Linked DNA regions of Neodiprion lecontei. The protein of the gene in region 2 purifies or fractionates together with the protein of the main gene of each other region. This does not show direct contact. Links are inferred from orthologs where the notes say so. Each region holds a gene or a part of one and is shown on either strand. Other genes may lie near its edges.

The links.
Region 1: the proteins of AP-2 complex subunit alpha (region 2) and protein numb purify together in Drosophila melanogaster (affinity purification with western blotting; 5 studies listed by BioGRID). This does not show direct contact. The link is inferred for Neodiprion lecontei from reciprocal best matches to the Drosophila melanogaster genes AP-2alpha and numb.
Region 3: the proteins of AP-2 complex subunit alpha (region 2) and BMP-2-inducible protein kinase purify together in Drosophila melanogaster (affinity purification with western blotting; 3 studies listed by BioGRID, with this or other methods). This does not show direct contact. The link is inferred for Neodiprion lecontei from reciprocal best matches to the Drosophila melanogaster genes AP-2alpha and Nak.

Annotation. Positions count from the first base shown.
Region 1 is NC_060261.1:16,628,092-16,638,871, reverse strand, and holds the start of protein numb, read left to right. Parts: upstream 1-4,394; 5' UTR 4,395-6,193; coding exon 6,194-6,268; intron 6,269-10,780.
Region 2 is NC_060265.1:7,699,334-7,710,481, forward strand, and holds the start of AP-2 complex subunit alpha, read left to right. Parts: upstream 1-6,104; 5' UTR 6,105-6,221; intron 6,222-6,479; exon of another isoform or gene 6,480-6,553; intron 6,554-7,247; 5' UTR 7,248-7,272; coding exon 7,273-7,336; intron 7,337-8,737; coding exon 8,738-8,949; intron 8,950-9,046; coding exon 9,047-9,240; intron 9,241-9,802; coding exon 9,803-10,034; intron 10,035-10,163; coding exon 10,164-10,272; intron 10,273-10,362; coding exon 10,363-11,006; intron 11,007-11,094; coding exon 11,095-11,148. Other genes in the region: protein ABHD18, read right to left, coding at 262-322, 718-1,003, 1,533-1,911, 2,052-2,249, 2,592-2,730, 2,795-2,907, 2,978-3,160, 3,336-3,420 and 1 more; rRNA-processing protein FYV7, read left to right, coding at 5,037-5,169, 5,240-5,363, 5,451-5,697. UniProt on the Drosophila melanogaster protein: Adaptins are components of the adapter complexes which link clathrin to receptors in coated vesicles. Clathrin-associated protein complexes are believed to interact with the cytoplasmic tails of membrane proteins, leading to their selection and concentration.
Region 3 is NC_060260.1:5,814,939-5,826,180, forward strand, and holds the start of BMP-2-inducible protein kinase, read left to right. Parts: upstream 1-4,661; 5' UTR 4,662-4,918; coding exon 4,919-5,045; intron 5,046-6,295; coding exon 6,296-6,411; intron 6,412-6,734; coding exon 6,735-6,868; intron 6,869-7,067; coding exon 7,068-7,179; intron 7,180-7,276; coding exon 7,277-7,480; intron 7,481-7,606; coding exon 7,607-7,710; intron 7,711-7,786; coding exon 7,787-7,919; intron 7,920-8,022; coding exon 8,023-8,617; intron 8,618-8,825; coding exon 8,826-9,192; intron 9,193-9,472; coding exon 9,473-9,611; intron 9,612-9,960; coding exon 9,961-10,213; intron 10,214-10,470; coding exon 10,471-10,518; intron 10,519-11,242. Other genes in the region: 28S ribosomal protein S31, mitochondrial, read left to right, coding at 17-240, 472-743; snRNA-activating protein complex subunit 4, read right to left, coding at 1,558-4,398.

The DNA.
Region 1 (10,780 bases), on a different chromosome or scaffold from region 2:
AATCTTTGATATCGCGTGGAATCGTACAAAATCTTTCGAAATCCTATAACACATTATAAAATAATGTTGATTCTCTGAAGTTATGCAAAACTTTTTGAAATCGTACGATCTTGCGAAATCCGGCCGTGTACATTGTAGAAACTAATGCGTGTTTAGACGCTTAGAAAAAACCAGTTCTACTTTAATTTTTAACGTATTGAGGAGGTTTTCCAGTCTAGAGGCCTAAATTTCGGGCGTTTTTTTGAGCTTGATAGAAAAATGAAAAAAAATATTTTTAGAACCTTTTTATTTCGTAGGATTGTTTGAGGTCTTTTTATTGATGTTTCAAGAACTTATAAGAATATTTTTTGAATGCAAAAAAGCAAAAATTGAAAAAGTTATGGGCCTCTGAATATTGCAATGGAAAAAATACGGGTTGAGGCGGTTGACGTCATTTCAATGCTGCTATTCATCCGAAATAGAATTATAATAAACCAATTTTCATGATCAATAAGAACGTTATTACGGCCGAAAGCAAAAAAAAAAAGTCGACAGTTAAAAAAATATCACTGTCTAAAGAAAAAGTTAATTTTTCGCTCCATTTTTTTCCGAGCTTGTGAGTTTTTAAAAATGGTAATAATAATAATTTCGTAATACCTGAGGTTCGGGATATAGACGGATATATACTGAAGGCCAATACCAAATTTGACGTCAAGAGGTTGAAAAGAACTCGAAATTTTATGTCAAACGGGTTGAAAAATGTTGTTTCGAAATAAACGCGCAGATGTAGAAGAAGATGTAGCTACACTAATGAGCAAAAAAAAAACAGAAGGATGGATTTTTTTAAGTTTCTAGATTTAACATCTTAGAGTTTTGACGATTCTGCCGCAATGCAATTAAAGGTTGAATTTTTTTTTTTTTTTTTTGAAAAACAAATTGCTCATCGTTTGATTGCCGCTATTTTTCGAATTATGTGAAATGAATAGATTTGAATGACAGCTGACCGTAGCCTATGAATTCAATGTTTTTTTTTCGGTTACTTGTTGCAGTTATCAAAGTTTTGTAAGTTTAGTTCAAAATTTACGAATTGAAAATCGATCGATAAAAAAATCCAACACAAAAACTACAGCCATTCTATACTGATGAAAATTACTCTTAAAGACTCGCGTTTTTGTGATGTGAAAAAAAAAAAAAAAATAAAGAATATCAACAAACAATAAGACCTTTTCAGGAATAACAATTGTCTCTCATTCTCTCGTTCATAGAAAGATTCTAATTATTGAAATGTATGCCTACTGCATGAGCATAATAATAATTAAACCAGCGATCTGCGCCTTTCAATTAGTCTGGCACTCGACTCCGCCTTGCTTTAAAAGACAATCGTCTTCATTGTTAGGACATAACTTGATTTTTCCAGTTGGCTCATTAAATCCGGTTCTCATCCGATGCTTACTGGTTATTTTAGAGAAATATTACGCAATCGCAGCAGAGCAACGGGTAACTAAAACGCTTGATGTCAATCGCGATCGCGCTTTTGCCAGAAATGCAAATCCACGCTGCGTGGCACTTGTACTTAGTTTATTCATCCGTTGTTACATCTGCAAGATAGAAATCATCGAGTATTTTTTATCGGTGAAAGTCGTGCGGTAAAGCGGAAAACATGACAGCTGATAAACTCGATGGCTGGAGGAATACTGAAATTTGGCGACGGAGAATCGGACACTTTGCGCCTCAGGTAGGCAATCAGGTTTACATTTGTGCATTCTTAGTTGCGTAATGAAGATATTACAGGCGAAGAGGGAACAATTTTCGTCTATTCGATCGAAGAACAGCTTTTTGTTGCTCGTGCACACAGTTTTTCAAAAATAGAAGCGCCACCAATTACAATTTTGATGATCTTAAAACTTTCAATCAATAAAATAATGCACACCAAAATTTTATGTTGAACTCATAAATATAGTATAAAACGCAATCATAATTTATTTTTTAGAATATATACATATTTTAATATCATGAATTCGACATTTTTCGGATTTTGTATTAAAATTATCGAGTTTGCGTACTTGCGTGGGATTTACGCAGCAGTTTTTTGTTCTTCAAAAATGTAAAGAAAATCTCTATCAATATTTCAATTATTCCATTCAAATATTCGATTCTTCAATTACCATTTCTGACAACACTGAATTAAAGTAACAGAAATTTGTCCTTTAAATCGAATTACTTGAATTTTCCGCTGGTGTTTAGACAAAGAAATTTTTTACCAATTTATAATATACAATATAACGTTATCACTTTGTTCAAAATTTGACAAATTTGCGTGTCAGTAATTGCCGTGCGAAATAATTGTACAAATCGGTTTTTGAGTATAACAGTTGCAGTTTTCTTCCCTTTCTCTTAATCCCCCTTGCATTTTTTCCTCACTCCTCGCACTTACAATTTTCCCTTTCTGGTTCCACATTTTTTGGCCTCGATTTCCGTCCCTCAACGCGGGTTCTTACCCCTGAAGAGTTACACTATATTTCTGTTGGTAAGTAAATGCGTGGTAAGAAGTTCTAGGTAGGAAGGCACGTCTGTAAGCCGGGTATTAACGTCACTCGCCTAGCTAGACTTTGCTGGATGCAGTTCTTCTGTTCTTCAGCAGATGTACGACCATTTGCCGTGGCAGCTGCGCAACTCTCACTCTCTCTTCCTCTCGCTCTTTCTCTCTCCCCATCATTAAACGGAGGCAGGCTCACCTCGTCCTTTACCGACGGTGAAACCTTCACTAGGAGTCTCTGCAAAAACCCCCGATTCACGTTCTCTGTATAAGGAAAGATGGGAAAAAAAAGGAAAAAACAAAAAATTTTAAATGGACAAAACGAAAAGACAAGAGAAGAAAAAAAAATAATGAACAAATATGAAACAACGAAGAGGATTCTTTTGTACTTGTTTACTGTTTTTTTCTTCCTTTCTGCTTCTTGATCTTTGAATGTTTGTTAAGGTCAAAGCAGAACCGAAAAATTAATTACCATATTGGGATAATATGTTTGGTAGAACCTCTCCGACATATTCGAAGACCTTTGCTGTACTGAAAGAATTTAGTAAGTTTTGGAAGGTGATTGCGAATGAGAGTTTCCTTAAACTTCACAGAATCGTAACCAGAAAAATGTTTAAAAACTGGAGAAATTTCTGAATATACGCACCGAAAGTCTGAGTGTGTCAGAAGCTTTTTCTGCCCACATCGATATTTTTCGAAATGATAATTTTGACGAATATTCACACATTTCTTGTTCATTGTTGTTATTATTATTATTGTTGTTGTTGTTGTTGTTGTTGTTGTTGTAGTTGTTGTTGTTACTATTATTATTATTATTTTATGAAACACTGATTGAGAATTTTATTAATTTTTTTCACTGTTTCGTCTTTGAAATCTGCGGTAACACTTCAATTTATATGGTAAATGTACTATGAAATTTGAAGTTTTTCGAAATAATGTTTCAAAGTTTTTCTTGTTCTCAGGAATGTTAGCAAAATTCTGGCCGCATAATATTGTTATTTTATGAAATACTACAGTTATAAATTTCACATGAAATAAAACGAAAACTATGTATTTAAACTGCATGTAAAGTTTATTGAATTTTTATTTACGTACAAAATTTTACCGAGAAATTAAAATTTTTTCAATATACCTGAAGATAGATTTATTTTTCACCGTTCATAAGATACTTATTGACAATCGTTAAGAATACTCGTAATCTTCTAATTTATTATTGTTCTTGTAAATACCACCTGAGATTGAAAAAAATAATTCACTTCAAAACATTTCCAATTCATTTTCGAAACCCGTTAAATTATATTTCGTCCAAGGTGTGTGCCTGAAATAAAAAGTTTCCTCAGCGCGTATCTTTTTCCGCCAGAGAAATTGTTGTTGATTATTGTTATCATCTATAAAATACTCGTTTACAATATTAGAAAAAAATTGATACTCCAGACAAAAACGAACTTCGAAAACCGATGTATCTTACAATCTATAAAAGACATTGTCGAAATTTGTCGGTTGCTGAAAAAATTTTCATATCTATACTTTCACTTTCTGCGTTTCATTCCGTAAGTCTTCTTCGTTACCTTACCGTAAGATGGGTATAATATTTACCGATAGGTATAAGGTACACGATGCGTGCCGAGAGAATGTAACTATACCTATACATATATATTATATATGTATGCAACTGTAACTGAAATGCGAGTTATACGATATTATAAATAGCCCTGTGTGGAGGGAACAAGAGAGGCTATGGGATCAGACCTCTCGTTCCAAGCCGATCCCCCCCCCCCCCCCCCCCTCCTGGTGGTCCCACTCCTCGCCGGCATTTCGCCCCACTACCGAGAGTTCTTACAACGAGAACCGGGCAGCAGGCAGAAAGAACGCCTCGTGGAGTACAAGTTTGAATCGAGTCGAACGAGCCGCGTAGTATTCTGGGTACGCGTACCGCATTCGGTTTGGGGGGAAAAACGCAGCGGCGGCCGCTGTGGTTCAGCCGTTAATCGTCATCGAAAACGGCCTCAACGGTTCGATATCGTCCAATTTCCATGGTGTCGTGTTTTGTGTGATATTCGTGTAGAAAAGTGTCGTTCTTGTCGTGTTCGAATCCGAAATTTGGAATTCACCGAGACGTGAAAGCGGTAATCGTTCATAGATTGACCGTCGATATTCGTTGTTCGATCAAGTGAATTTCTCATACTCCGAGTCTGATATATTGCTATTTTTCCTACTACATTGTAAAGAAACGATGTAAAAGAAAAACAACAAGAGACTATGAAGCGGAAAACAAACGACGCTCCCGGATGCGGTTGGAATATAAACGTCAAGTGTAGTTAATGAAATTGTGAATTTCAATGTTTACAGTTGTCGGTTTCGTTCGCAATAATTCTCGATTTAAACGAAAGCAATAAAAGGTTGATTACCAAGTTTGTAAGTCAGGAGGAGAATATCTCTGCAGATGTGAAAGGAGGATTCTTTACCATTTGGGAATATTGATACCAATTGTTCGATTTGCGTTCGATTGTTTGAATAATTAGTCCAGCGAGAGATCATACGAAGTTCCGAGTTCCGGTGGGGTCGCCGGAAGTGTATTATAAACTGAGCGGAACGTTGCGCCAACGGAAAAACGTGGGAACACTTTCAGAGCAGAGGTTTCGTGACAGCTGTTGCACGATTAATAAACTCGTTACAGGTGCTTACCGAAAGAGGTTCGGTCTTCAAAATGGCGAGTGAAACTCGCGCAAACCGAATATAAGAACGGCCACTCGAATCTGAATGTCGATCACCTGAATTTCACATTCAAAATTGATCGTTAAAAATCGTTTCTTTACCACAGACGAATATTTGAACTGTCTCGATGACAACGGAACGTCGCTTCGGGCGTTCGAATAAAACCGTTACGTGGTAGCGAGCCGAGTTATCAAATTTCGAAGGGCGGGAGCAAGCAAGGTTTTCAAATTTCGAACGTCGGTATTATCTCAAGGTGTGACATCTCGTACGGCAGAGTTGAGTCAAGTTTTCAATTGACCTAGATTTCGAACAGCGGGAGCAAGTCCAGTTTCAAAATTTCGAACGTCGGGCGCGATTCGGTTTTGAAATTTCGAACGGCGGGTGGTATTCGAATTCGAAATTTCGAACGACGGAATCGCGTCGTAAGCGAGAAGAAGCCGGCGGTGTAGCAGAGACTCTTGAGTGACGTCATCGTAAGAAAGGCAGGTTGGGTGAGCCAAGTTTGACCGTTTCCCGTTTGTCAGTACGGATAGAAGAAGCCCAGGCGGTGGGCGGCAGCCGGGAATGGCTTCGAAGCTGTGACGTTTTTCGTGAAGTTTAAAAAGAAAGAGGCCGGAAAAGGTCGACGAGGTCAAGTATCGAGGGACGGTGATCGAGAGTGAGTTTCGAATCCCCGAGGCTTGTGTTGTCGGTGAAACGGGAATCGGAGTGACAAAATTGGCTATCGGGCACTCCGATGATGAAGGCGTGAAACGGCGGTTGCAGTTTTCGCGAATTGACAACTGAGCGCGGTTGGCGTTCGATTAACGCAACCGGCCGCACCTGTGCAGCTTCGCGTCCCTGAGAAGGCTGGAAAATATATATATTCCAACACGGATCGACACGAACGTAAACGCGACTGACCGACTACCTGTTCTCGGATATTTCCCCCGACTTACTACCTGAACCAAAGGCATCGATACCATGGGGAACCATCCGTCCGCCCACCATCCGCTCGAAAGAGCCACAACCCACGCTGGAAACACTCTCCGAATATCGGTATGTAGCCGTCCAGCAACTCGAGACGAAAAACTAAGAGCTGGATTGAGCGGTGACGAATCATTCGGAAAATATTTATTCACCCCCTATGAGATAAACGCGATTACGGTATTGTACGATCCTCGGTCAACCGACATCGTTGAGCTCTTAGACAACTCCAAGTTCTTCCGATCGATCGGAGGAAACGAATTCGATGTTAGGTTTTAAAACTGGTCCTGGCTTAATTCTCTGAGAGACGGTAGAAAGCGACCCGAGGAGCCGTTTATTTGTGTACATATATGGGGAGTTCCAGGCCATTTCGACCCCGCTCATGATCCTCACTGTTTTCAATTCTGTTCTCCTATTCGACGATGCGGATAAAGAGGGTTTGCAAAATTGGTCATTTTTAGAGAAATCGATTTTCTTGCGATTGATCGATTCGCGAAATCAATTGACAACGTGGTTAATTTTAATCAATGAAATTTATGTCAGTGAGTTTTTGCGAAAAAACGAAACTTTTCAGTCTAACACTAAAGCGAAAATTAGTGGATATCTGGTTTGATAAATTTAACCAAATGAATTGTTATTGAAACATCTCCAGCGTGAGGATTTTACGGTTCGTGATCAAATCCCCTATTTTTATATCAGATTGCTCGTTTCTTTCAAATTAAATCCACACCAATTTTCATTCCGGAGTGAAAGTTTTTACCTTTCGGCAAAGAATTCGTTATATTAATTTCATTGAAATCAATTATGCGGTTAACTGTTGAATTTCGAGGACCGTGCGGTTGTTGATGGAAAGCCCATTTTCTAAATAAACTGAAACTGTGGAAATTGCATTTTTGCGATTCGCCAAGCAACGTACACTGGAGAATGAAATTGAAGATGGTGTGGATCGCGAGCAAGTCGAAATGTTTTGGAATGTTCCATATGTACACGTGTGAACGTTATAGAAAAAAAAAAAAAAAAAAAACTGAGCAGATGGGTTCTTCCATCTTCTCCACAGAACGTAAGCTTGGAAAGTTTCTCCTAACTCGCAGTTAGCGAAAACGTTATTCACGCAAATTTCTTCGTCAGGGCATCGTTGCGGTTAGGTTTCAATGACTGCGTTGCAAAACGGTACCAAAAGTGTCTGAACGTAACTGATTTTAAACCGTTTATTATTCGACCCAAGATGCGCCAGCTGTGCACGTTTCTGGAACGGAGAAATCTGCCCATGGGGTTCTTCCTATGGGATCAGCCAGGATCCGCAGCTGCGGTTAAAAATGGCTTCGTGTATACATTGAAGTTCTAAAAAAAAAACGTGAAGCTGGATGGATTCGAGATATGGAAACAAGGCTGAAGTTAGTAACTTTGACGCAACGAAAAATTACTATATTTCAAGTTTACAGTGAGTTTGAAGTAGTCAAGTTCTTGTCTTGTTACGACTCACTGAATTTTAAACATTATTGCAACTGGGACATAACGGTTTTTTCGAAACGTTAATCGTCGCAACAACGTTACTAACTTCACCCTCATATATGGAAGAGAAATTGTTGCAATGTTGACACAACGAAATATTGGTGAAAAACACTCTCCTGCAAGCTTGGAATAACTTTGAAGAATTAACGAATTTACAAAACAGTACGAATTCCAGATTAGGGTGCGAATTAATCGCGAATCTGTATCCTTCCGTGAATTATTAAATCATCTGCATTAATTACGCACTCATCATGGCTCGAGAGTTGCTGGAACCGCGTATAATTATCTAGTTTCAGTAACTTTTTTTATTTTATTTACTTTGGGCTTGGCCTCGATCGCCGCACTGACCACATATTTTGTAAACCGTGATTCACGTCCTGCACTGAACTCACAATCGATGTATAAGGAGGGGGAAGAACTTTAACTCTGTTTGTATGTTGTCATAGCTGTTATATGTGAATCGTGTCCCCACGGGAATAAGGCGGAACTAATAAACACAACGCGATCCATTTTCAAATCGAACAACCGACTCGGCCAGTCGCACACGAGTGCAGTTCAAGTTGTGTGTCTCAAATTTCTATCGGTCAAGCTTGATTAAGAACCTTTGAGATTTCACCTATTCTCACTTGTTCGAGTAACAAACGAACATACCGCAATAAAATATTCAATCTAAGTTAAAGTTAAAGCTAAGAAATCATCAGATGGAATCAAGCATCTAAAATTTCGTTCTATCAATCAGCATCGGCCGAATATTTAACCAGCTTAAATTAACCGTTCGCAGTGATTTTTTTATAGTTGACCAAGTTTTAAATTACCTTCTAGGCCAGTGTACGAAAGCTTCGATGTTATTTGCCCAATTACGAAGGATCGTATTATTTTTCTGCGCCGAAAAGGTTATTTAAAATATGTCTCTGTTTGTCGGTAATGTTCGAATTGGGAAATGACATTTGGTGAACTGATTCGTTTACTTAAATAAGAACCTAAATGAGATATTTCCTCATCTTTTGGAATTTGGTGGCTTTTCGATTCTGCTGATCCTAACTTTTCTTCACAAATAATTGCTTTCAATCCAAATCCATTGCCTGATGATTTTTTGGAATATTTTGAATCATTACAATCGCTTTTCGAAAAATTTTATCACTCAAAAATATATTTACTTTGCAAACGGAGCTTTTCGATATCAGTTCTTTGGCAAGATTGTGCGTCAAGGAATACATTTCCGACAGTGAAATTTGGCACACGTGAAAATGTACTTTTTAACTTGAATATATTGAAGTATGAATTTTTTCTAGCTTGATTGATTTCGTGGCCGACGAGGTGACCGAGCTACCTCAATAAAAAAAAAAAAACGAATTTTTCAGACGAGCATTAGTAACAATTTCCTTTGCCGACGCGACGAAAAATAATTCCAAAGTTGCGAAATAGTGACGTTTCTAAAAATGTTTCCTTACCTTAATATTATTAACTCGAACCTCATCCAAAAGACCCGAACTCAAATATTTTTTTTCGCAGTAAAATTTATGTAATACTTTCAAATTTTTTACACACAAAAGGAAGTTACAAAGTAATACGGAAAGTTTTTTTTTTTTTTTTTTTATTCACTTTTGATGGCAAATCTCGCCGGTACGTCTATTTAAATCTGACCCCCGTAATATTGCCTCTGGAGTGGAAAAAATAACGTAATTACACGTTTCCGGACAAGTATAAACACGTAACGAATTGCTCTGTCAAGCTTCCGAAAAGCTCCAATTTCGGTTCAATCATTATTCCGCGGTTCGTGTCTCAGGCATATTTCGCGTTTAATTGGCACATTGAACAATGCACGGTGAACGTGTGACGTAATCACGATGATGGAGAGTATAACGAGACGACGTGCTCTCTGCTTTGAATTTGACGCTCTCTGAGAGCAATTAGAGTTTCGATGATGAAGCCTCAGCAGAGAAGGACGAATGATCGGCGCTAATTACACAGGAGATTTGACGCAGCAGAGAAGCTAGAAAGTAAACGATAAATTCAGAAAAAAAATTCGAGTTGTAACGACCAAAATAATACATCCGACTAAACATTATTTTTACTTGACCAAAATGATTAGTCAATTTTACAGCGAGCCGAAAACATAATGTTTGGCACCACAATCCCATATCACTGAGAGAAATTTTTTAACTATTTTCATTTTTTACCATAATCGAAAAATATAGTTCTAGGTACAAAATGAAAATTAGTTTTCCAGCTGTTACCAAAAAGTCTGGTATCCGTTACTATTCTTTCTCATCACGATCACTGTTACTATATTTTCTAGCAACTGTTGCGAAAATTTAATGCTTGTGCAATAATAAATTGACGCTGAAGCCTTATTTATCTAAAACAGTAGAGTAAACCTCAGAAACTGATTTAGCGTTGCAATTACCATAAAAAGGATCGACAATAGCGAAAAATGGTTACGTTTACCTCGATTTTCGTAATTCCAACAACATTCAAACAGTTTTTATAACGATACCTGTTTTACTGAATTTTTCTAGCTGCTGTAGAAAATGAAATTTTTCTCAGCGTAGATTCTGTTCCAGTTAAGAAATCAGATCTACACAGCGAAATGTTTTTTTCAAGATTGAAAAATGACTGTTTAACGTTGTAACCGAAAAAAAATTGTCGGTCGATTTTGACTTGTGCTACGAGAATCAAGTACCGCATCAAACAACACCAAAAAAATATGCCGTTGCGAATTGATTGGCCTATTCAATGATATTAGATCACGAATAATTATTCAGTTCCGCTGATTATATACTACACAGATGCCTGGAGCCCATCCTAACAACTACTCATCTCATTTCTCTTGCGAGAAAGGATTTTTAAAGCGCCATAGAATGTATTTTGTCACTTCGACAAAATTTTTTTGTACATTTACGACACAACATATTATTTGATAGCGGTAATCAGTCAGTAGCTCTCATGATTTCGTAAATTTTACTAATCTTTATCCACCGAATAGATTTAGTGAACGAATTTATCAGAGGGTATTCAATATTTTCATAATACCATGAAAAAAGTGCTACTTCGTTAAATCGACTGAATCAA
Region 2 (11,148 bases):
CAGAATAAATTGTTAGACAATTCATTCGGACATATTATATCATTGCTTATTGAATTTCATAAGCTGACAAACATTCGGAATTAAACAACAAGAATTTATTGCTATGATGTCAACGATTGATAAATTGTAATCATGAGGCATGTCGAAGCTTCGAAACCTCTATATTTAAACAATTAACTAAATCTAATTAATGGGGCACATGAGAATGAAGCGCAGAACCACTGAGTAGGCTGCGTTCCTCTTTTACTCATATGACTCTTGTCAGCTATTTTTTACTGGATATTTTTTCATGTATCTTGTGAACGCCTCGACGATTGTTGACCTACAAAAAAAAAACCGATGAAAACGTAAGTTGAATAACCATCGGACAATAGATTTATTTATAATTATTCAAATATTAATTGATCTTGTATATGAAATAAATATATATGTAATTTCTTTCTTCTTCAATGGTAATTTTGTGTGTTTTCAATTATCATATATATAGTTACTTTGTAAAGCAGCCCAAATTTCACTATTTATTGTAAAAAAGTCCAAAAAAACAATGCACAAATTGACAAACAAAGAATCTTCCTGTAAGATTACCACAATTTCCTACGTGAAATAAGCGTAAGAGAAAACAGATCGAAAAATGTATATTCCTAATTTACTATCAAAGACTTATAGAGTGAAGTCCCCGGATAGAAAATAAATACTATCCCATTTCAGATCAAGTACCTGAATAGTTTCTGGTGAAGAAGATATGCTGAAACGTGACCAGCATCAATGAACCGTATTTCGGCTCCTGGCCAGATTTGTTCAAGGCCCATACAGCCTTCTCGAGGCACATATGCATCATCTCGAGCACATACCGAGATTATAAGTTCCGTATCAACTGGAACCTCGAAATTCTTGAGATGAGTACATTCGTCCATCACGCCACGCATGAACTGCAAGGCTTCTCGTTCCCTCCACTTGCTGTCTGAAAGTAGGGGATGTTTTGTGACGGGTAACGCGCACACTCCTGCTCCAAAAAGGCCCCCATTAACGTCACACAACACTGATTCAACACTACCTTGATAGACGCGTTTGCTAATTCTTGCTTAGCTGATTCAGCCCGAGGAAGTTGTACAGGAAATTCGCAATTCAATACAAGCTAAAACGGAGTTGTTATTTATAAATATTCTCATCCTCGGATTGGCTCAGAGCAATCGAAAATCAACATTTGCCAGGCAGGATGGGAAATAACAGGTAGTAATACATAAATGCAGGAGGTGACAGAAGTTTAATTAGCTTGGAATTGTTAGTTTTTCTTTGCACAAGATATGCTGAGATAACGTAAAGTATAAGACAAAAGTAGCGAGAATTAATTGAAAAATATTCATGACGAATTGTCTGTTCTTGTCAAGTTTTTGTCTTCCAAGTAAAAAAAGAGTCAACATTTATTATTATGATCAGGCTTACCTAGGGGTTGAGTAATTGTTTCAGCAGATGCACAGAGGATGGCAGAATGGGATGCCTGACTACAAATGCATAGAAATTACCCAACTCACCTTTCAAAACATCATTGTCAGTGAGTTTCAATTTGCTAGTAATAAGGTTAAAGGGAAACACTAATGCATCCGCTTTCTCCATATCGATTCTTGCCTGGTCGACAACAGTATCTTTAGTCTTATCTTTACTATTGTCTGTATTATCTTTAAAATGATCATTATTATTGTCGATACTGAGGTCAGTACTGTTTTTGTTGTTTTGAACGTCGGTGAGACTGTGTGCTCCTCGTGACAGCTTATCACCTGACATCTTTTGTTCTGATTTCGAATCGGCAGTTACGACTCGATCGGAGTCAATTGACTCCTTCTTCAATTTGTTCATCCTGTTCATACTCTCTGGATAATGTTTCGCGAAGTGTTGTCCCGCCAAGAAGGCGTCCTATAACAAGCATTTCTTAAATCATTATTTGCTCCACTTTATTTTGCATTCAATAACAACTACTTTAGCTTATAAAACGTTGGTTTGAATTTTGCATGAAAAACTATTAAGAAAATGATTTGAGAAGAATCGAAGCTTACGTCCTGTGTGACGACCTTGACCATTTTTGCTAAATCGTTCTGGTAGACTTCGTCTGCAAAGTACTGGGACTCAAGGAGGTGCCAATTAATGGATGCGCTCATGACTCCTTCAGTGAAAACAGGTGATGCGGTAGACCATGAAAGGCAGGGAACCAGAGGAATTGGCTTTGGCCAATTTGTTGCTGCTAGAGAGGCCATCTATACATTTTTCCATCATCTGTTAGAAATAAATACTAGCCACCCAATGCTTTCATGTTTTAAGCATTGGCTGGGATACGGTAAAGATGTTATTTCAAAAAAGTTTCATCATAATCTATCAACCATCTCGATGGAAACTTTATTTTGCCGTGGTACATCCTGAGTGAGTACAATATTTTTGTTTCTGATTGCTTCGCCGTCTTTTATACGTTTTACTATGCACTGAAAAGGTTGATAAACAATGTTTGATAGTAATAGCAAGCGTGATACTGAGGTGATAAAAATTAATAAAATCTCTCAAAAAGCATTGAAAAATTTTATAAATACATGTAAACTACTAACGTGACCACCCATTGATAGTCCGGTAAGCCCTAATGGTCCAAAGCCTTGCTGTTCGCACCAGTTTAACAGAACTATAGATTCCATTATTAAACAACCACCCATTACAAAAATGTCTGAGACATTATGCAAGCTCGAACGTCTATCAACAGATAACGTATTTATAAATAAAAGTTATGTGTACAAATTTCACAGGAGGTTCTTACATCTGATCCTTGGGCTTTCTGAGACCGTAGAATGGATTTTCAAGTAGAATAGCCCCGATCCCAGCTTCCTTGAGCAGAGGGCGAGCAATCAGATTTCGACGGCGCCAATAGAACTTGAAAGTCAAATTTAAAAGTTACTAAAGAGTTCTCGCAACTGCTGTCACGCTGTTCAGTTAAACTTACGTGATCCCCTGTTCCGGCCAAATGCAAGCAAATGGGTTTGACTCGCTGGGATTCCCACTTGCGTGGCAAAACAACCTGGAAGTAAGCAGTTCGCGTCTCTTCCGGCATGAGGCCTGGCAGATTTTGGTCAAAAGGCGACTGAAAGGAGCCCTCCAAAATGTGACAGTCTGACCATTCTTCATCCTGATTATTTAAGGTTATATTTTAAAGGTTAACATTGGTGAATGCAAAATTCGTTTCATCTCTTGTTCCATTTTGAAGTCGATGAAAGTTTTTTCCAATGAGAACATTCAATACTTATAAAAGCGGTTTTCGGTAAAGTATGAGATAAAAAATTGTAAACATAGTAACACGTCACCTTCGTTATCGTTACGGGATAATTGGTGGGTATAAGATTGTAGCAAGCTTCTCGATTTGCAACAATTTTACGGAACTCAAATATCCTGTGAGTAAAAACGAAAGAGATTATAAAGAGAACATAATAGAAAGTAGGTTGAGTAGATTTCAGGTAGTTTTAATATATTTACCTCCTCAAATTTTCCGGTTTTCCCCAGCCCTTGGTGAAAAATTTTGTGAGCAAAAGACTCCTGTACACCGCATCCAAACGACTTGCGGGCATTATAGAACCGATTGTAACGTGTAAATTTATACCTATCCGGAGAATTATAATTCTCGTAAACTGAAAAACTAGATAAATTTCACCGGACCCAAAGCGTTCAACATCTTTTAAAGTATACGTCAAAATTCATACGGGTCAAACGGGTCAAACTGCACTTTGGGCTGCATGTGTTTCCTCGTCTATGTATAGGGTGTTATAACTCCACTTCGCAGACGAAATCTGCCTGAATCGCTGATCTACTAACTTTGGCACGTTTAACACCTAGGCTACAGCATATAGAATGACAGAAATCTACGCCAATCACCGCGCAAAGATGGAATGGAGCCACATCTCGATGCTCATGACGAACGATTAGTCGTGATTAGATTATTCATTGCTTGTTATTCGTTCTGGTCGAGATAGATATCGTCGAAATGATTCTGTTTATCTACAAATTATGAAAAGCATGCATCCTAAATTGTAGATATTTTCACGACCCCGTATTTTGACGTTCTGAATACGAAACCGGAAATCGCGTAAACGTTCACTACGCTATGTAGTTTACTACTCCTACGGCTATAAAAACACGTGTTTACCAACGTCGGACGTGCCGCACGGCACAACGGCGAATATACATTCCGAGAGTTTTTAAACGAGTACCTAATCGCTGTTGCTCGCGACTCAATGTCTTGTTTGTTTTGTAACGCTATGGCCTCTTAGGTATTAGCAACGCTTAATTTTGGCAGTTTATCTCAAGCTAAATTTAAATCTGGCACGTTAATTAAAATTAGTCGCCGACTATATTATTCGCATATGCATATCATATTGTAACTATCATACAATATTTATTCGTGTAAGATAAATCGACCTGAAGAATAAAATGGATACACGTAATTTATTCGTATTGTCCGGAGAATTAAAATTCGTTAAAAATATACTCAACATTCAATTGTTCCTGAATAATTTTATATTTTCTGATGTTTATATGTAAGGTGCAGCTGCACATGAAACATCGCGCTTTTTGTTTGGATCAATGTAACAGTCAAATACCAAATACACACACATATTTGTTGTATGAGTACTTATACTTCATCCATCGCACAACGTAATTCGTTCAAGATCTATCTTATCTTGTTTTACTTTCTGAGAACTCACCGCGCCCCGTAAATTATTATCGCTGAATCGAAGGTTAACACAACAAATTGTCGCCTGCAAGATGACAAGTAAATCTGCATGACCGTAATGATGTATATTTACATCCCGGTATTTTGAGGGTACTTCAACCACATTTCAACTCTGTTCGATTTCGTGAATCCCGATAGTGCTGCACTCTATGTTTAACTTTTAAGCAGAATCCTCGTGTACGCATTTCACATGTCACTCGTTTCACGTCTAGTGGTTTTCTAACCTATTAGAATTGATTGTTGTTGTCAACCGTCGGTGATCGATTAATTGTGAATAATGCAGAACAACAGGAAAGATTTGGGTAGAAATGAAGCATTGAAAACTAAGAAGGGCGATAATAACGAGCAAACTAAGAAACCGTTCGACAAAAAAACCTACAGGTTGAAAAAGTATAGCAACAAGTACAAAGGTGACTTGAAACAATATCTCTGATAGCGACATACCTATATGCCTGGGCTAAATATTTAATGATATTTCAGTTGACCAATGGGAGGATCGCAGAAAGAAGGCTGTTCTCAGACAGTACTACAAAGATCTGCAAAAAGGTCAAAAAAATGCAGCACATTTAAAGACAGAGTCAAAAGATAACGACACAGAGACTAGGTATAGTTTTTACATAACTTGTTTCAATTCTCTTTCATATTGAAAGCTTGATATTCACACAACGTGCACTGTTCCGTCTTATTTCAGCAATCCGCAACCCAAAGGAAATGCCTTCCATGCGGCTAAGATTGAATATTTGAAGAAAAAGGATGAAAAAAAGAACAGAAGGGAAGAAGCTCAACGTAAAAAAGAAGAAAAGATCGAAGCCCTGAGAAAATATAGGGAAGAAAAGGCATTAAAGTACAAAAAGTTGTCGAAGAAAACAAAAAAAGGTCAACCCGTTATGAAAGATAGGCTTGAGATGTTACTGGAAAAGATTCAACAAACTAGTTGAATGAATCACGACGTTGATCGTCCTAAATCTACAAAACTCATTCATACTGTAAATATCCGCCCATTGTTGTGTAATTAATAATTTTTTGTGTAACAATAAAATAATGGGATAAAAAATAAAAATCTCTGAACGACATGTGAATAATTTGAATCGACGAGGAATTAATCAAAAGAAAGTTTGAGTGTTTTGTCGAAAACGCCGAAACGGATCTCTCAGAATTCAGTCCCACGTATTGCGAGAACTCCCAGACTGTGGCTTGAATAATTAGGGAGCTAATAAAACGGAATCTTGTAATATTATTTGAAATTTGCCGGTCCACGGGATGGCGCTGGTTACGATAAAATGGCGCACGAGCCGCGCAGCGAAATACGAGGGCCGAGCAGCAAGCGTAGAATATAGAGCCGTCAGCTTAGCGGTTGCAAATGGCGACAGCCACGAAATCCCTGTCACAGATTCGCGTATAATTCTCGTCGTAAATATATCTGTGACTCCGCCACCCGCACGGTTATCCCTCGGTTATATTGGTGAGTAGAACCATAGCAATCAATTTATATAACCGTAAGTGATCCGGTTAATTTAATAATGTTATTAGCGATTAGCGAAGGGAGGTGGGCCTGCCTATCGGGCCGAAGTTTCTTCGAAATATTTTACTATTTATTCGTCAAAACTACGCCCCCTCCCGCGGAAGAAATTATCCGGTCAATATTATCGCACCGCATCGCCTTCTTGTCTAACTTATCACTTATACCGTAATAAGGCTCTTCCAAGAATTGTTTAGTTACCAGATAAGTCCGATCTTTGATTTCCAGGGGTGTGCAAAATGGGGGCTAATCAGTCCGCTGTCAAAATCCTCGCTTGTTATCACAATTAGAGTAAATCACCGCATACGAACAACAAATGGAATATTTTGGCCCATTAGTTTTCGTTGTGCAACCATCTGGTACGCTATTTATGTCGTTGGCACCATTGCCAATTGTTATTACAACTTTGAGTAGCCGTTGACAGATTTTTGCGCAAGGTGGTTTTTAAATTCAGCCCTAACACTGTTCTTAATTTTTTTTTTTTTTTCTCCTTTCGTCAGCTGATAACAATGCATAAATATTTTCATTGCCATTGACTCAACGTGCCTGCATGCGTGTCTGAAACACTTCTTGCGTTACATGTAAGAATCGTATATGTATTAGTAATCTAGCTCCGCCAGAAGCAGCTCAGTATATCTGAGTATAGATTAATTGCAAATCAATTTATGCGTTGAAAGATTGATTGAGTTTGCATTAACTAATCCAAGTGGTTTCTTATTTTTCTTAGACCTACATTTGTCAGGCAAGATTAATTTGTCGGTTTTCTTTTGCGAATAAATAAAAATTGTTACGTATCAAAAATTTTTGTCACACAGCATTCTAGGCAGCAAATTATCGATTATGAACTACAAATCAACCTCAAGTTCGAATAATGCAACACTTTTATCAGTGCTATATCAGATATCAGCCTTTTCTTTCCAGTCTACTTGCCCAATCTACTTAATAATGACTAGTTTACCTTTATCCTAGGTCGTCTGAGCAATAGGAGGCAAAGATGCCAGCCGTGCGAGGAGATGGCATGCGTGGTCTCGCCGTGTTCATTTCAGACATCAGAAATTGTGAGTTTCATTGTTATTTAAACTCATTCACTAAATCTTTGAAGCCTCAGGTTCACAAGAAATTTAATCACTAATATGGGCATGCATCAAATCTCTCTATATCATTGCTCCGGCATTTTTTTTTTGAAATTCGCAACGACCAGACTGCATTCGCAGACCGGAATACACGCTTATCGCAATTGCTATTACGTTTCTTCTGTCGATGAAATGATAATGTGCCATTGAGACTGAAGGAGATACATGATAGTCTTTTGTGGAATGGGGGAATGGGGGCGGTTCTGTGATACTGCCCCATATGTGATAGTCCGGTAGCTTCATGCCACAAACATGTAACACCTACTGTGATATGTATTTTGTGATATACATTCAACATCTCTGCCGAGAATAATCATGTTATTAATGGCATTGAGCTATCTGAGAAAAAGTAATAATTTTTAACAAAAGTATATTTATATTTACTCCATAAATTTATAACGCCGGTTTGCGTATTCTGGCATATTTATCTTTCGATGTACACCTAATGTTTTTTTACTATATTTTAATTAAGTTTTATTGCTTTCCTTACCTTGGTAAAATTCGTACGAAAATTCTTATATAACCAGTACGAAAAATTATGGCCTCTTGGTTCTGTAAGAATTGGATTTTAGGATCTTTTCCGGTTTGAATCGTTCGTTAGTGCTGCTTTTTACATATACAGCAGTTTTCCCTGCTACAAATAAAGTGAATTCCTCGAGGAACTTGCTTTGATGGAAAATGAATCAATATTTGTAATCTACTATGCCAAATGGCCAAGAGCCATCTAGATGTGTCATTGACCATACTAGAGATTTTCAAATAGGTATATAACCGGACATTAGAATAATGTACTCTTGAGATTTAACGTGACAATTTCGTAATCCATTTTTTGCATAAAATATATCCCAATATCATGTAACAACAACAAAAAACTGTTATTATTCCTGCACGTGAGATTTATCAGAAATCTATTCAATTATATATCTCACATATGAAGCTGAAGGAAGTAGCCATAATTATAGCTGTCTTGTACGAATTAGAAAAAGAAAAAAAATGTCTGAGAGTAAATTAACGTTATATCGTTCCATTCATAGCTGGTCTATAATTAAGCTTTGAATACTTTTTGATAAAGTATGTTTGCACCTAAAAAGGGATATTTACTTACTTCAGGAATAAGGATGGTAATTTTTAGTTCAGTTCTAAGAAAATTTACAGCAATTGATGCTGAAAATTAGTATCAAAATCTGTTCTGTGGTCATACCTGTTTCTTTTTTCTCTTACATCACACATCAACGTATCTCTTGTTCACAGGATAAGTGCCTGCTTAGGTATATTTCAATTTGAATCAATTCAGCTTTGAATACTTTATTAACATCTAATTGACAGGCAAGAGCAAGGAGGCAGAGATCAAGAGAATAAACAAGGAGCTAGCAAACATCCGTAGTAAGTTTAAAGGCGATAAAACGCTGGATGGTTATCAGAAGAAAAAATATGTTTGCAAGTTACTGTTCATATTTCTACTTGGACATGATATTGATTTTGGTCATATGGAAGCTGTAAACCTTCTTTCGTCGAACAAATACTCAGAAAAACAAATTGTAAGTCATTATTTTCTACTCTAGTTTTATGTTGAACTGTAAAAATTTATTTCATTTGCTTCTGCAAAGAAGTATTTATTGAAATTTCTCATTTCAGGGATATCTATTCATATCTGTACTAGTAAATACAAACAGCGATCTTATTAAATTAATTATTCAAAGTATCAAGAATGATCTTGCATCAAGAAATCCAATTCACGTAAATCTTGCTCTACAATGTATCGCCAACATTGGCAGCAAGGAAATGGCAGAAGCGTTTGGCAACGAAATTCCAAAACTGCTTGTGTCAGGGTAAGTTGTCGAGATGCAGCACAATTCACCATTCTCTACACTATTCTCACGGTTTTACATAATCCCTAAATTGCTCAATGGATCTAGGCGACTGGATATTAGGTGATGTAAAATTCTTGTTACAGTCTTGGAATTCGCTTCTGCCATAATTGACATACTCGTTTCCAATTCTAATGTCGGTCAATGAATTTTTTGCTGCTACATTAGTCGATTAGTGGTAAATCGCTAATTCTGGCTCAGGGATTTATTTCGGTAGATAAATTTACTGCCTATCATTGTTACACCAGCAGTCGCAATTCCAATGTAGATGTCAAATCAAGATATTTTTTTAAGTTGTTGCGCACATGCTTTGATAAAGTGTACCCTAGAACAAATATACTTTTTAATTTTGTATATCAAAGCATTGATCTTACAAATTTCCTGTTTATTTACGGTTGTATTAATTGAACTCCGCTATCCAAATCCCACCAACACAGTGAAGATGATTTTGTAACTTTATTATGACAAAAGTAATTTTAGTAAATTGTACTGCAATTTTTGAGGGAAAATCGTAAATCCACAGAGACACTATGGACGTTGTGAAACAGAGCGCAGCCCTTTGCCTCTTGAGATTATTGAGGACAGCACCAGAGGTGGTTCCAGGTGGAGAGTGGACTTCTCGCATAGTTCATCTTCTGAATGACCAACACCTCGGTGTTGTCACAGCAGCTGCATCGCTGATTGATGCGTTAGTTAAACGAAATCCAGACGAATATAAGGGCTGCGTCAGTCTTGCTGTTTCAAGATTGAGCCGGGTAAATTTTCGTGGAAAACCTGTTTTAATGTTGTAATTACTTCGAGTTTTTTCACTAGGCACTCTGTAATTATAAGTGAATGAGGACCACTCTGCTATTATTCTCTAATTACGAGTTTTTCTTGCATAGATTGTAACGGCTAGCTACACAGATTTGCAGGACTATACCTACTACTTTGTACCTGCGCCTTGGCTCTCTGTTAAACTTCTTCGTTTGCTGCAAAATTATACTCCACCTGGTAAGAAACTTTGACAGTTTAAAAAATATAAGTGTATTAATTTAAAACGTTACTCAACCAACGTTTGATATCTATACTTATTTTCTGTAGCCGAGGATCCAGGAGTACGTGGAAGACTGAACGAATGTCTTGAAACCATATTGAACAAAGCTCAGGAGGCACCAAAATCGAAGAAAGTACAGCATTCTAATGCAAAAAATGCAGTTCTTTTTGAGGCGATAAGTTTGATTATTCATAACGATAGTGAGCCAAACTTGTTGGTTCGTGCTTGCAATCAGCTTGGTCAATTTTTATCAAATCGTGAGACTAATCTACGGTATTTAGCACTCGAATCAATGTGTCATCTTGCTACTTCCGAATTTTCTCACGAAGCTGTGAAAAAGCATCAAGAAGTTGTGATACTTTCAATGAAAATGGAAAAAGACGTTTCCGTGAGACAGCAAGCCGTTGATCTACTTTACGCGATGTGCGACAAAAGCAATGCCGAAGAAATTGTCCAAGAAATGCTGAATTACCTAGAAACTGCGGATTATTCGATCCGAGAAGAAATGGTATTAAAAGTAGCTATACTAGCTGAAAAATATGCAACTGATTACACGTGGTATGTCGATGTGATCCTAAATTTAATCAGGATAGCTGGTGATTATGTTTCTGAGGAGGTCTGGTACAGGGTTATTCAAATTGTTATCAATCGAGATGACGTTCAGGGATATGCTGCTAAAACTGTGTTCGAGGTAAGAATTCTATATTGGAAAATTGTCTTCATTATAGTTGGCAAAACACTGCTGTGATTGTACTAATTATCTTCTCTATGTGTAACAGGCTTTACAGGCTCCAGCATGTCATGAAAATATGGTCAAAGTTGGTGGCTACATT
Region 3 (11,242 bases), on a different chromosome or scaffold from region 2:
TTTTCCTGATTTTTAGTAATGCAAGAGTTACCGTTGATTCGGGAAACCCATTGGGTATTTTCGAAATGGATCCTGAAGCTGTGGTCGATCCTAACATACCCACTCTTCAGACTTGGGACCATCTAGAGAAGCGGGATCTAAAGCTCTTAGTCACTCATCCTCCTATTCATTTTATTGACCAAATGATTCAGTGGACCGAACAGGGAAAACTCTGGCGATTCCCTATTGATAATGAACAAGGTATTTTTACATGTTATGCGTAATTTCGCACGTTTTTTTTTTTATCGAACAAAACTAGATTAGATTAAATTTTATAGTATAATTAGTATGTTCGACTGTTGCCATTTCTCACTCGTTTCCTTACGGGTCAATGAAATTTAATTTTGCTGAAATAAGCTAATTTCTCTCCATTGGAGAATAATATTATAATTCGTGTACCTGACATAAATTTGAATTTTTCTATTTTATTAGATCTAACCATCGATCAAGAGGAACACTTTTCCGATCACGTCTTCCTGGAACCGTATTTAGAAGGCTGGTGCCCAAGAAAAGGACCCATCAGACACTTTATGGAATTAGTATGTGTTGGGCTATCTAAAAATGCATTTATGACTGCTCAAGAGAAAAAAGACCACATTATGTGGTTCAAAGAGTACTTTGACAAGAAACGGGATCTCCTGACGGAATTGGGAGCTTATGGTACAGAGAAAAGCAGTGAAGAATTAAAACAAGTCGAAGCATAAACAGTTGTATTTTATAAAGTTTCACCCATCAAATATATTATGTAACTATGATGTAGTACGCAAATAAAATTCTTCAAGAAAGGAAAATTCTTTCTTGCTTATCCGCGAACACATGTAACTCGTCTATGGTACTGAGAGTAGTAATATCGACAAGAAATTGTATTGTGTTTTCAAGGACATCATAGGGGCGTCATACAGCTTGAGTGTTTCCGACATATTGTAGAAAATATATTTTTATTTAAAACACAAATAACAGCAGACACTGCAGCTTCTTTTAGTATTATATTATGACGGTTTTGAGATTATAAAATAATTTTGGATTGTTCAATTACTGTAATTCTCATAAATATAGTAAACATGAGACAAAATGATTACATTGTAGAAATATAGAAAAAGGTATTAAACGGTATTTTCGTAATGGATATACATATTAGCTATATACTTTAGCTGCAAGTGCAATCGAAATTGCGAAGTTTTTTAGTATATAAATATGATGAATATCATCACAGATACGATACGTGATAAACATAGAAATGATGTTAACCCCTGTACCTACAATGTCATGGGAGACGTGCTACGTCGATCGGGCCAAACATGAGAATCACGAGTGAGAGCCGTGATATTTACACATATGACCGACCTTGCTGTTGATTATAGGCTCACGCAATCGGAACTTAAATCGTAGGTTAAGAGGTTAATACAATTGGAGTAAACTTTAGGACATAAGGTTGTGCAGTGTCATTTAACAAGTCTGAACCATTAAGGGAGAATACATTGTACATATACAATGTAGATAGCTGATTTTTTATGAAATTCATGTCTCAGAAATTTCTTCAACATTGAGTTTTGCAAACTTTGCTTTTCTTTTTGTTTCCGATCCCCCACATTCCTTACTGCCTTTTCTTCTTCTTTGACAATTGTTCCCAACACTGTCCAAATCTTTTTCTCTCATATCGTGTAATACAGGTGGTGCTACTTCGGACAATTCTATAGGAAATTTAAAAAGCTTAGCTAAACGTTCCTCAAATAATTCCAAGGCTTGTCGACCCTCTGTTGTCATCCTATAATCTTCAAGTTCATCATATTCGTCTTCCACCAAATTATCTGCCTCAAGAATGTGTTTTGATAATAATATTCCACGAAACCCTAGTAAAGTTGTGTAATTTGGAGGTATCAGCATTTCTGGCCAATACTTGGTGAGTTTCCTTCTGGTAATTTTCGAAGATGACTCATTTATACCTGGCATACTTTGCTCTGTTTCACTTGTATCTGGATTGGAAACGACACCTGATGTACTTGGGGCGTTCATATCAATAATTTCACTTGCACTATTTAACTTCCCACTATTTGGTAGGGAAATGAATTTTATCGGCAATAGTTTACCGGATCGTTCAGGTATCTCCTTTGAAAACACAGTATCTGTCGGAAAGTTTTCGGTTTTGCCGATAAATTTCTTGGCCATCTTCTCAAATGCAAGTTCGCTTTGCAAACCGCCCATTTGCGATATGACTAGCTCAGGTGTTTTGAAGTTTTTATCTAGTTCAACAGTGGTTGGCTCGTTCGTAGGATCGTAATTTATTCCGGTAACTGTTCCTTTTTTAATTCGTGAGATAATTTTCTTACCATCAAATGGAAACGGTGGTATAAAACGATCTTCACACTCTGTCACCATAGATGATCCAAACATCTTTTGCCTGGTATGTTCAACCAATTTTTGTTGCATGTCAGACGCCAGGGTTTCATCCCTTGAATACTTTACTAAGGAAGTCAGCAGCTGCTTATCTTTTTCCGTCAACTGTGGTTCCTGGTCGAAATCATCAGGAATATCAAGATCAGCATTCAGCAGTTGCAACATAACGTGAAGCCTCGGAGTTTTATAGTTGAGCTCCTCGGCAGTATAAAATTTGCTGTTTCTTCCAGGTTTCGAAGTGGTTCGATACATTCCTTTGAAGTAATCCTGAAGCTCTATATCAATATCAGATAGATTACTTCTCTTTCCATCGTTTCCATCCTTTTCATACGGAGTTCTCAAACACCTACTTATTTCTTGAAGCCTTTCTTCACCAGTCATCGTTGAATCTTCGATGCAAACTTCTTCAGACTTTTGTCCCCACCTGGGTATGGATCTGAGGGACAAGCCCCGACTCAGATATCGGAGTATCGACGTATGGCGATGTCTAACTTGGACTCTAGACTTGTTGGAGAATTCTTTGGAAATAGCGGACCAATTGTTGCCAAATTTTTCAACGAGATCTACCAGTTTGGTATCGTCTTGTAAAGTCCACTCATTTTTTTTCTCATGCAGAAGTGTTCTATAGTGATCGTTCAACTGCGCCGTAGTTCTGTGAGGCAGCAGAGAAACTGAAATTTTTGTAAAATTAGCCCCAAACTTGTTAACACCTGCAAGTAGGAGCTTGTCCTCTTCTTCGGTGAATCTACCCTTTTTCAAATTAGGAGCAAGACTGTAATTCCAGCGCATGTATATCTGCTGCTTTCGTCTCTGTCCCATAAGCTTAGCGACCTCTCCCCATGGAATAAAATTCCCAGTCCTCAATCCATTTACAGCGTCAATAAGTTTCTGGTCTTCTTCTTTTGACCAAAAACTGTTCCTGTTCAACATGTTGTTTCTAAAATTGGTATTGAATCTAATAAAACATTGATATCCTGTACGATTTGTGCCCAATTTTTCAGCCACTAGGTCCCAGTTTTGAAAGTTGTAATTCTCAGCCAACTTTTTTAGATCCATATCCTCAGCCTTCTTCCATTTACTCTTGTTGATGTCAGGATGTAGGAAAACGTTCCACATTGCTCTGCACTCGCTGGCGGAATGTCTCTCATTGAAATCGGTTACTGCTATTTTCAACCAGTCAAATTCCCTCGATCCTATCGGACCAACCAAGTTCTTGAAGGTCTGAGCTATCTGCTCCGGTATTCTCTTAGCCGTCAGCTTGAATTCCAGGTTCAGAGGATCCTCTGCATAGCTCAAGTGTTGCCCGTTATTAGGTTGTTGTTTTCTTGCTACTTGTTGGGCAATCATCTTAGCCTCGCAAAAAATAGCCTCCCATAGCGTGTTCCGATCTTTCAGAGTCCATCGCAAAGGGCACGGAAGTTCAATGATCTGTAGCTCACCACGATTGGCTTTCAACTTAGCGTCCTGGTTCTTGGGTGCAGGAAAATGACGCTTGTCTTTGAAATATGGGATCCCGCTAATGGTTAATAGCGTTCTAGAAAATGGGTTGGAATTTATCTTTTGAAGTTTTTCATCTATTAGCACTTGTTTACGCTGACACTCTTTGAGCAAGAGGCGAAGCTTTCTTTGAGCATTCACCAAGAGATTTATTATTTTTCTATTTAGATTCAACGCAGCCTCGGGACTCGAAAGATCCAAACTGCTATTGATATTCTCGTTCCATTCGTTATCACTTTCTTCGCCATCGACAAGTGGGTCGACAGTGCAGCAGTCCTGAATCGTGCTCGACGGGGATAGAGGATTGTTCGCTTGAGACGTTGACGGCTCGCATTGACTGTGTTCTGTTCTAAATGGATCTTCGGAAACCAACTCCTTTTTCAAACCGTCCGATTGTTTTTTCGTAAGAACTTCTTGGAGAGCTTTTATGTCGTCGAGTATTACATCCTCGTCCTCTAAATCACTCATTTTCCTGTTCGTAGGTTAACAACAAGGGACGAATCCAATCAGCGGCGTTGTGATATTATCAGTAATTTGACGCTAATTCGTTGGCAAGGTTAAAACCGACGGTAAGAGAAGTTTACGTTTGGGAAAGACTTGTATGTTTGCGGTGTTTGGTATTTCAAGACTTGACGTTAGACCGGAACTCAGGGACATATGTTTCCGGTGTATTAGCCTCACTTCAGTTGCTGCAGCGTGACTTTTTGCCGCGCATGCGCAACTAACGCTGTCTTAAAATGTCGGCTGGGTGAAATACGTTGAATGTTATCATGATAAAATTGATTTTCGTTGGTTAAGTTTACGCGCAATTTCCACGCGGATTGCCGGTCGAGGACGCAAATATAGTTGGAATAAAATAAGGAGTAACTCCGCCGGCCAAGACTCGTCTATAAATCGTAAAACACTGTGTGAGGAGGCCTTATGTCAAGCCAGTCTAATATTGGGTGGATAGCCGAAGAAGTAGCGCAGACGACAACGACGTGCCAAAATGAAGAAACTCTTCTCAAAAATCGAAACAAAGATTGACAACACAGCCAAGGAGCCAAACAGCTATGTCGGCAAAGTATTTGTCGTCGGCCGTCACACCGTTACAGTCGAAGATGTCCTCGCTGAAGGTGCGTAACCCGCGACGTGTAATATCTCGTCCCTCATCCTCGATCGTTTCCCGTCTTGGAATCTCTACTATCGCTGTATGTCGCTATGTTTATTACAATTTCACGGCCCTTTCATTTCTTCGCGCAACAAACACCATTTTCAATATTTTCAACGATTCCGAGCATTCGTACGTACTCCCCATTTATATCCAACTCCCTTAATGGAATCTAATTCGTTTCCGTTTCCAGCCTCGTACGTAATTCGTTTTATTGTTTTTGCAACGCGAATTATTCTCGTCGATTCACTTGTGCAAACACAACGTGGGGTTGGTTTGAAAAACAGAAGGCTCGAAAGAAACCTGAGGAAGGTGCGTAGTTGTTTGTATCGTGCATTTCAGTCAGCCGCAACGATCATTCTTGGCCATTCTAACCAGCATTACCTGGTGCTATGGCCTTTTAATCTCATGTCTCAATCTTATCTACCGGGACTACAAGTTTATCGCAAGACAAGCACCGTTACCGTGATAGATTACCGAGTGTTATTAAACTTTTATGATTGCAGGGATGTTCTCCTAATCTTTCCAGATTTGAATAAAAGCCGTTCACTTCTCTCAAGTTTCTTTATTTTCCTTTCATTACAAATTTCTCACTAATCCAACAAACCACTCCCACAACTCGGTACGCAATACTTATGATTCATTTATTGCTAAACTGGGAATAAAAATGACTGGCGAAAAAACTTTCTTTATTCAATCGCATTGAATCAGTATCATTTTCAGATGATACATTACAGCGCTGCTAAAAATCACATACCAAAAACCCCTCACATCATACGCAACATGCAAATAAAAATTTAAACATTCATCTGCCAAGGTTAAAAATATTAACTCGAGCAAAGCGCTAATATAAAACAATTGGTGATTTACATTAATCAGACTGAATTATTCGATGTACTTATTGAACTGTATCAAAATGACACTGGCATATAATCTAGACTTTCCTGAATTAAAACAGCTCAGTTTCAGACTACAGACATGATACAGCTCTATCGTCATATCAAGTTGACATGTGTTAATCTTACATATTTATTATTATGATACTGACAGAGAGCATGATATGACACAATAAAGAAGGGATCAGAAAAATTTGAAGCTGGATACTTAATTACTCGATTTACTAATAATAAATTTTAGATGTGTTGGAAAAAGCAATTTTCACCTCACTATTGAAAATAATAATTAGATATACTTAAATTACATCCCTAATTCCAGGTGGCTTTGCTGTGGTATTCTTGGTCAAAGCATCGGGTGGGCGTTATGCGCTCAAACGCATGTATGTCAATAATGAACATGATCTCAACGTATGCAAAAGAGAGATACAAATTGCTGTAAGTATTTGAAAATCGCAAACTCGTTTCAGAATTTTGCTACAAACAAGTGCCAATTTTGTAGCAAAAATTTTATACGATGAGATTATGCCCTTTTGATACTCTCGAATATGTAAACCCAGGACATGGGAATATAATTAAGAGTAATTGCTTGTTCTACAAAGGCTCGCTTCCTTGCCAGGTTGTGTAAACACTTGTGATAACTTGTCATATGCCTGTATAGTTACACAAACAGTAAAGTGAAAATATTGAACATGGCCGCTCGGCCAAAGACAATTACATTATCGTTGCTGTACAATATAGCATATCAATTCAATTTTCAGAGCAATCTCAGCGGTCATAAAAATATTATAGGATATGTGGATAGCAGCATCACTCACACTGGAGGTGGGGTTCATGAACTCCTCCTTTTAATGCCATATTGCAAATCTCATGTTCTTCAAATGATGAATAACAGGTCAGTTATACGTGGATAATGTTTGTGATTAACATTTTAGTTTTACTTTTACTGATACATTCAATTTTCGGAGCAGACAAAAGATATTTATTAGATATTCAATTGTACAAACTAGCAATGTCCATCTATAGTAATCTCACACATACCTCTGTTCGTTTCAAATTTAAAAACAACAACGTTTATCCTTTAAATCATGCAGGCTACAAACTGGATTCAGCGAAACTGAAGTCTTGCAGATATTTTGTGACGTGTGTGAAGCTGTCTCGCGTTTGCACCATTGCCAGACGCCTATTTTACACAGAGACCTTAAGGTAGGTCAGTCTTAGAAAAAAAAACTTGTATCCAATTTTTATTTCTTTTACGTGTTGATATTGCTAGTTTCAATGGTGATGTTCTTATCTGTCACAGGTAGAAAATATTTTGCTAGCAGATTCTGGTCATTACGTACTATGTGATTTTGGATCTGCAACTGGAAAAGTATTGAATCCAAGTGTTCAAGGTGCTTCTATAGTAGAAGAAGAAATTAAAAAGTATACAACTCTTAGTTATAGAGCTCCAGAAATGGTTGATATGTACTGCGGCAAGACCATCACAACAAAAGCAGATATTTGGGTAATTTCTGATGATTATATTTTTGAATTACCATGTGAATTACATGTCAATGCAGGTTGAGAAGCTGTAGAAATCCAAATTTTGTTCGTCATTCCCTCTTTTCTAAAGAATTTAATTCTATTACAGGCTCTAGGATGTCTGTTATATAAATTATGCTTTTTCTCGTTACCTTTTGGCGAGAGTACGCTTGCTATTCAATCAGGAAACTTTACCATACCAGAAAGTTCGAGGTAAACTTTTGGCTTATCTTGAATATTTTATTGTAGTAGCATGACTGGTTATATTAACTTTTTTCTCAATTTACAGATATAGCAAAGCACTTCATTGCTTAATTCGATACATGTTAGAACCCGATCCTGATCTGAGACCAGATATATACCAAGTTTCGGTAGTTGCTTTCCAGTTACAAGGCAAGGACTGTCCAATACAAAACCTTCACGTAAGTATTTTTTACTGTTCAATTGAGTGGTCCTAGCAATTGGCAGATTATAATGACTCAGATTCAAAAGATTATTGGAAATTGTATTTTTGTATATTTACAGAAAGCTCCAACCCCGGTAATAGAGTCTCTACCCTGTCCTCTTCTGGAATCTGAAGCTATCAAGCGTTCTTCGGTAAAAATTCAAAAGCTTACACAAGTTACGATGGTTGAAGGGACATCGGTCGCACCGAGACAAAGGCCGAAAGGTCAGAGTGCAGCGGCTGGTCCCATAAGTTTAAGTGGTCAAATCATAGGTCAGATATCGGGGCAGGGCAATCAATTACAATCCCAAACTACACTTGGGAATTCAATTCCCTATACTTCTGTTAGTCAACAGATCCCGCCCATTAATACTCCACAAGCTTATCTTGGACAAAGCGTTCAAACAAACCCGCAACAGCCCTTACAGCTGTCTGCACAATCATCCTTTGTTCAGGTCAGTCCTCACATCTCATCCCCGAACCAAGCCATCCCCTTTGGCCAATCCCAGGCCCCCTCGCCGTTTGGCCAATCTCAGAGTCCGATGATTAGCCATTCTCCTCTCCCTCATCAATCCCCGGTTACTATTCAGGAAAAGAACCCGTATTATTTCGATTCAAGAACGACTGCCTCAGCTGTTAAAGAGGAAAATTTGGATGCCTTATTTCCCTCGTCTGGTGAGTTAATTCTCAAATAATATAAAATCATCAATATCTTAGATACAAATTATTTTATTTCGCTAGCAATCCTTACTATTGTCAAATGTCACTATATATATACAGAAAATGTCAAGAATCTGTATTAAAAATTTTTACGTTGCTTATATTTGTATCAGCGAATTTTATATGCCCTGATAACCTGTTTCATCACTACAATTTGGCTCAGGTTACCCAGATCCGTTTAAAGATGACACTTGTGTGATGATGGCACCTGCAAAAATCCCACCGCCTGTTGCTCCTAAGCCAGGTACAGTCAAAATTGGGGCACCTTTGGTACCTCCAAAATTAACGACTCCCACCAATATTGGCCCACCAAAACTAACAACACCGACACAGCTGCCATCAAAATTACTCACGGCAACGACATCTACTAAGATACCATCCGCAGTCCCACCGCCAGTCTTGCCAAAGCCTGTTCCGAAAATGGAGAGTCTAAGTCAAAGCATCAGCTCAGCTGGAACCCCACCAGATAGTCCTACGCTAACATCATCTAGACATCGAAGGAATGTCAGTGATACTAGCGCGTTCAACAAGTAAGCTCTCTTCTTTGCAATCTATTTCTTTAATACACATGAATATTCATTATACAAACGTGATCAATAATTTATATATAGCTATTCCATCACTCTGAGTTACATGCATATTTGCAGTCTGTTTCACAATTTTATTTTATATTTTTTTCAAAACAAAAACTTGTAGATTGAAATTCCAATCTGGTGGAAATTGCTATCATTGATGTGGAAGGTATTGTTTCTCGAACCGCCTCAGTTAAATTAAATAACTAAATTACAGTGGCTATTTCAATGTTTACAGAGTATTTGCAAATGAAACTTCTCAGTTTCTAGCACCGTACGAAGCCTCTGTTAAACCCCGATCCGGAGGCTCTACACCTCCCGATGTGTCAATGGATACAAAACCAGGCATAGGCATTAGTGCCTCTCACGTACGTATTGTAAGTACCTATTGCACACCTTTATTTTTTAGTTCACTTATTACTAATTCCTTCGAAACTAAAATACCTCTCTTCACTTCTATGAAATAATCATAGGTGTTTTGACCTTATACATTACGATCATTTGTATTTAATTGTAAACAGTCGAGCTTGTGAAATTCATGTAACATTTATTTCGGCTTACTGTTGAGTACTTTAATTTTCAATTTCTGCACTGCACACACATTACTGTTGTATATATATGTGTACAATAAGTAAGAATTTGATGCTAGCGATTGTTTTTCGTCATCTGTAATACAATCGCACACGCCTTACTTACATTTATTCAGATAGTTGTTCTTTTTCTCAGGGTGAACTTTCAAGCACAACTACCAGCACAGATGGTAGATCCTTAAGTGCTGATGTAGCTGCATGGAATCCTTTTGAAGATACGCAACCGTTCAATCAACTTACTGAAGATCATATTTTTGGGGCTGAATTTGATAAAATTAGAAGAGGTAGCAATAGTAGCATCAGTGGTGTGAAGAGCCGTGAAAGCTTAGTTATGACCTATTCAGAGTTGCCTGAAGACCCCTTCGAATCTGCTCCATTTAGCTTACCCAGTGAGTATCGACTTTCCTAACTATAGTGCTAAGGTTTTTCAATAAAATTTTTCTGGAAATGTGTTAGTTTTAGCTTGATATCAGTATTTTTACTTATGGAATGGTATTTTTTTCTGTTACGTATAAAATTTAACACTATTCTATCCAGTAGGCACATAACTTACACATCTCTCTGATAGATGATAATATTTATTGTAAATTGTAGATTGTATCTATTATGTTTAAATTTGTTGCCTTGACTTCATCATTTATTTCAGCAGGGAAGAAAAATAAGCATGGAGCTAAAGCAGCAGCTGTTGCAGGAGGTAATGCATGAAACTTTTAAATGACTATCCTTTTTGCTTATCTAGACTTCTTTGAAGGACGAACAATAATACTTGCGTGCATTGATCGTGAAAGCAGTATAGGCATGAGCTATCTTGATTTTATTACATAAATTTACAGATGACCGGTAGAAGAGCAGAGACTATCAAATGATCAATAGATTATTCAAAACATTCTTCTATAAATGTTATTAGTTCCGTAAAGTCCCGGTAACGAAGAGTTTCGTTCAATCCAACGTAATAATTAATAATAATACCTAGTTATATTTCCCATTCTGAAGTATTATCCAAAGTCAAAGCAAGCACGTTTTATTTGAATTATTTTTTATTGCTACTATAATTACTAAATTTGATGTGGTAATCACAAAAACTTGTTCTTAATTATTTAATAGCCATCGTAAAAATCAGTAAATAATATTCGGTATTTGTCCAGAAAAAGCAAGTACATTTTGTTAGAAATGCAGCATCGCTATATCTTTTCTAGAACTGACGTTATAAATTTTTATGGTGGTACTGTGTTCTGTGATTCGAAATATTTCACACTATGAAACCCTCATTCCAGTGATCTCGTTGGCTGTATATTGTGAAATTGTCTTTTTGATTGAGTTTGGTTACTCGTATCGAGTTTCTTAACCAAGATAACGATTTTTGGTATCTGGAGATAGTGTTATAACATAGCACAGTTTTTTATTACGACTTTTAATAC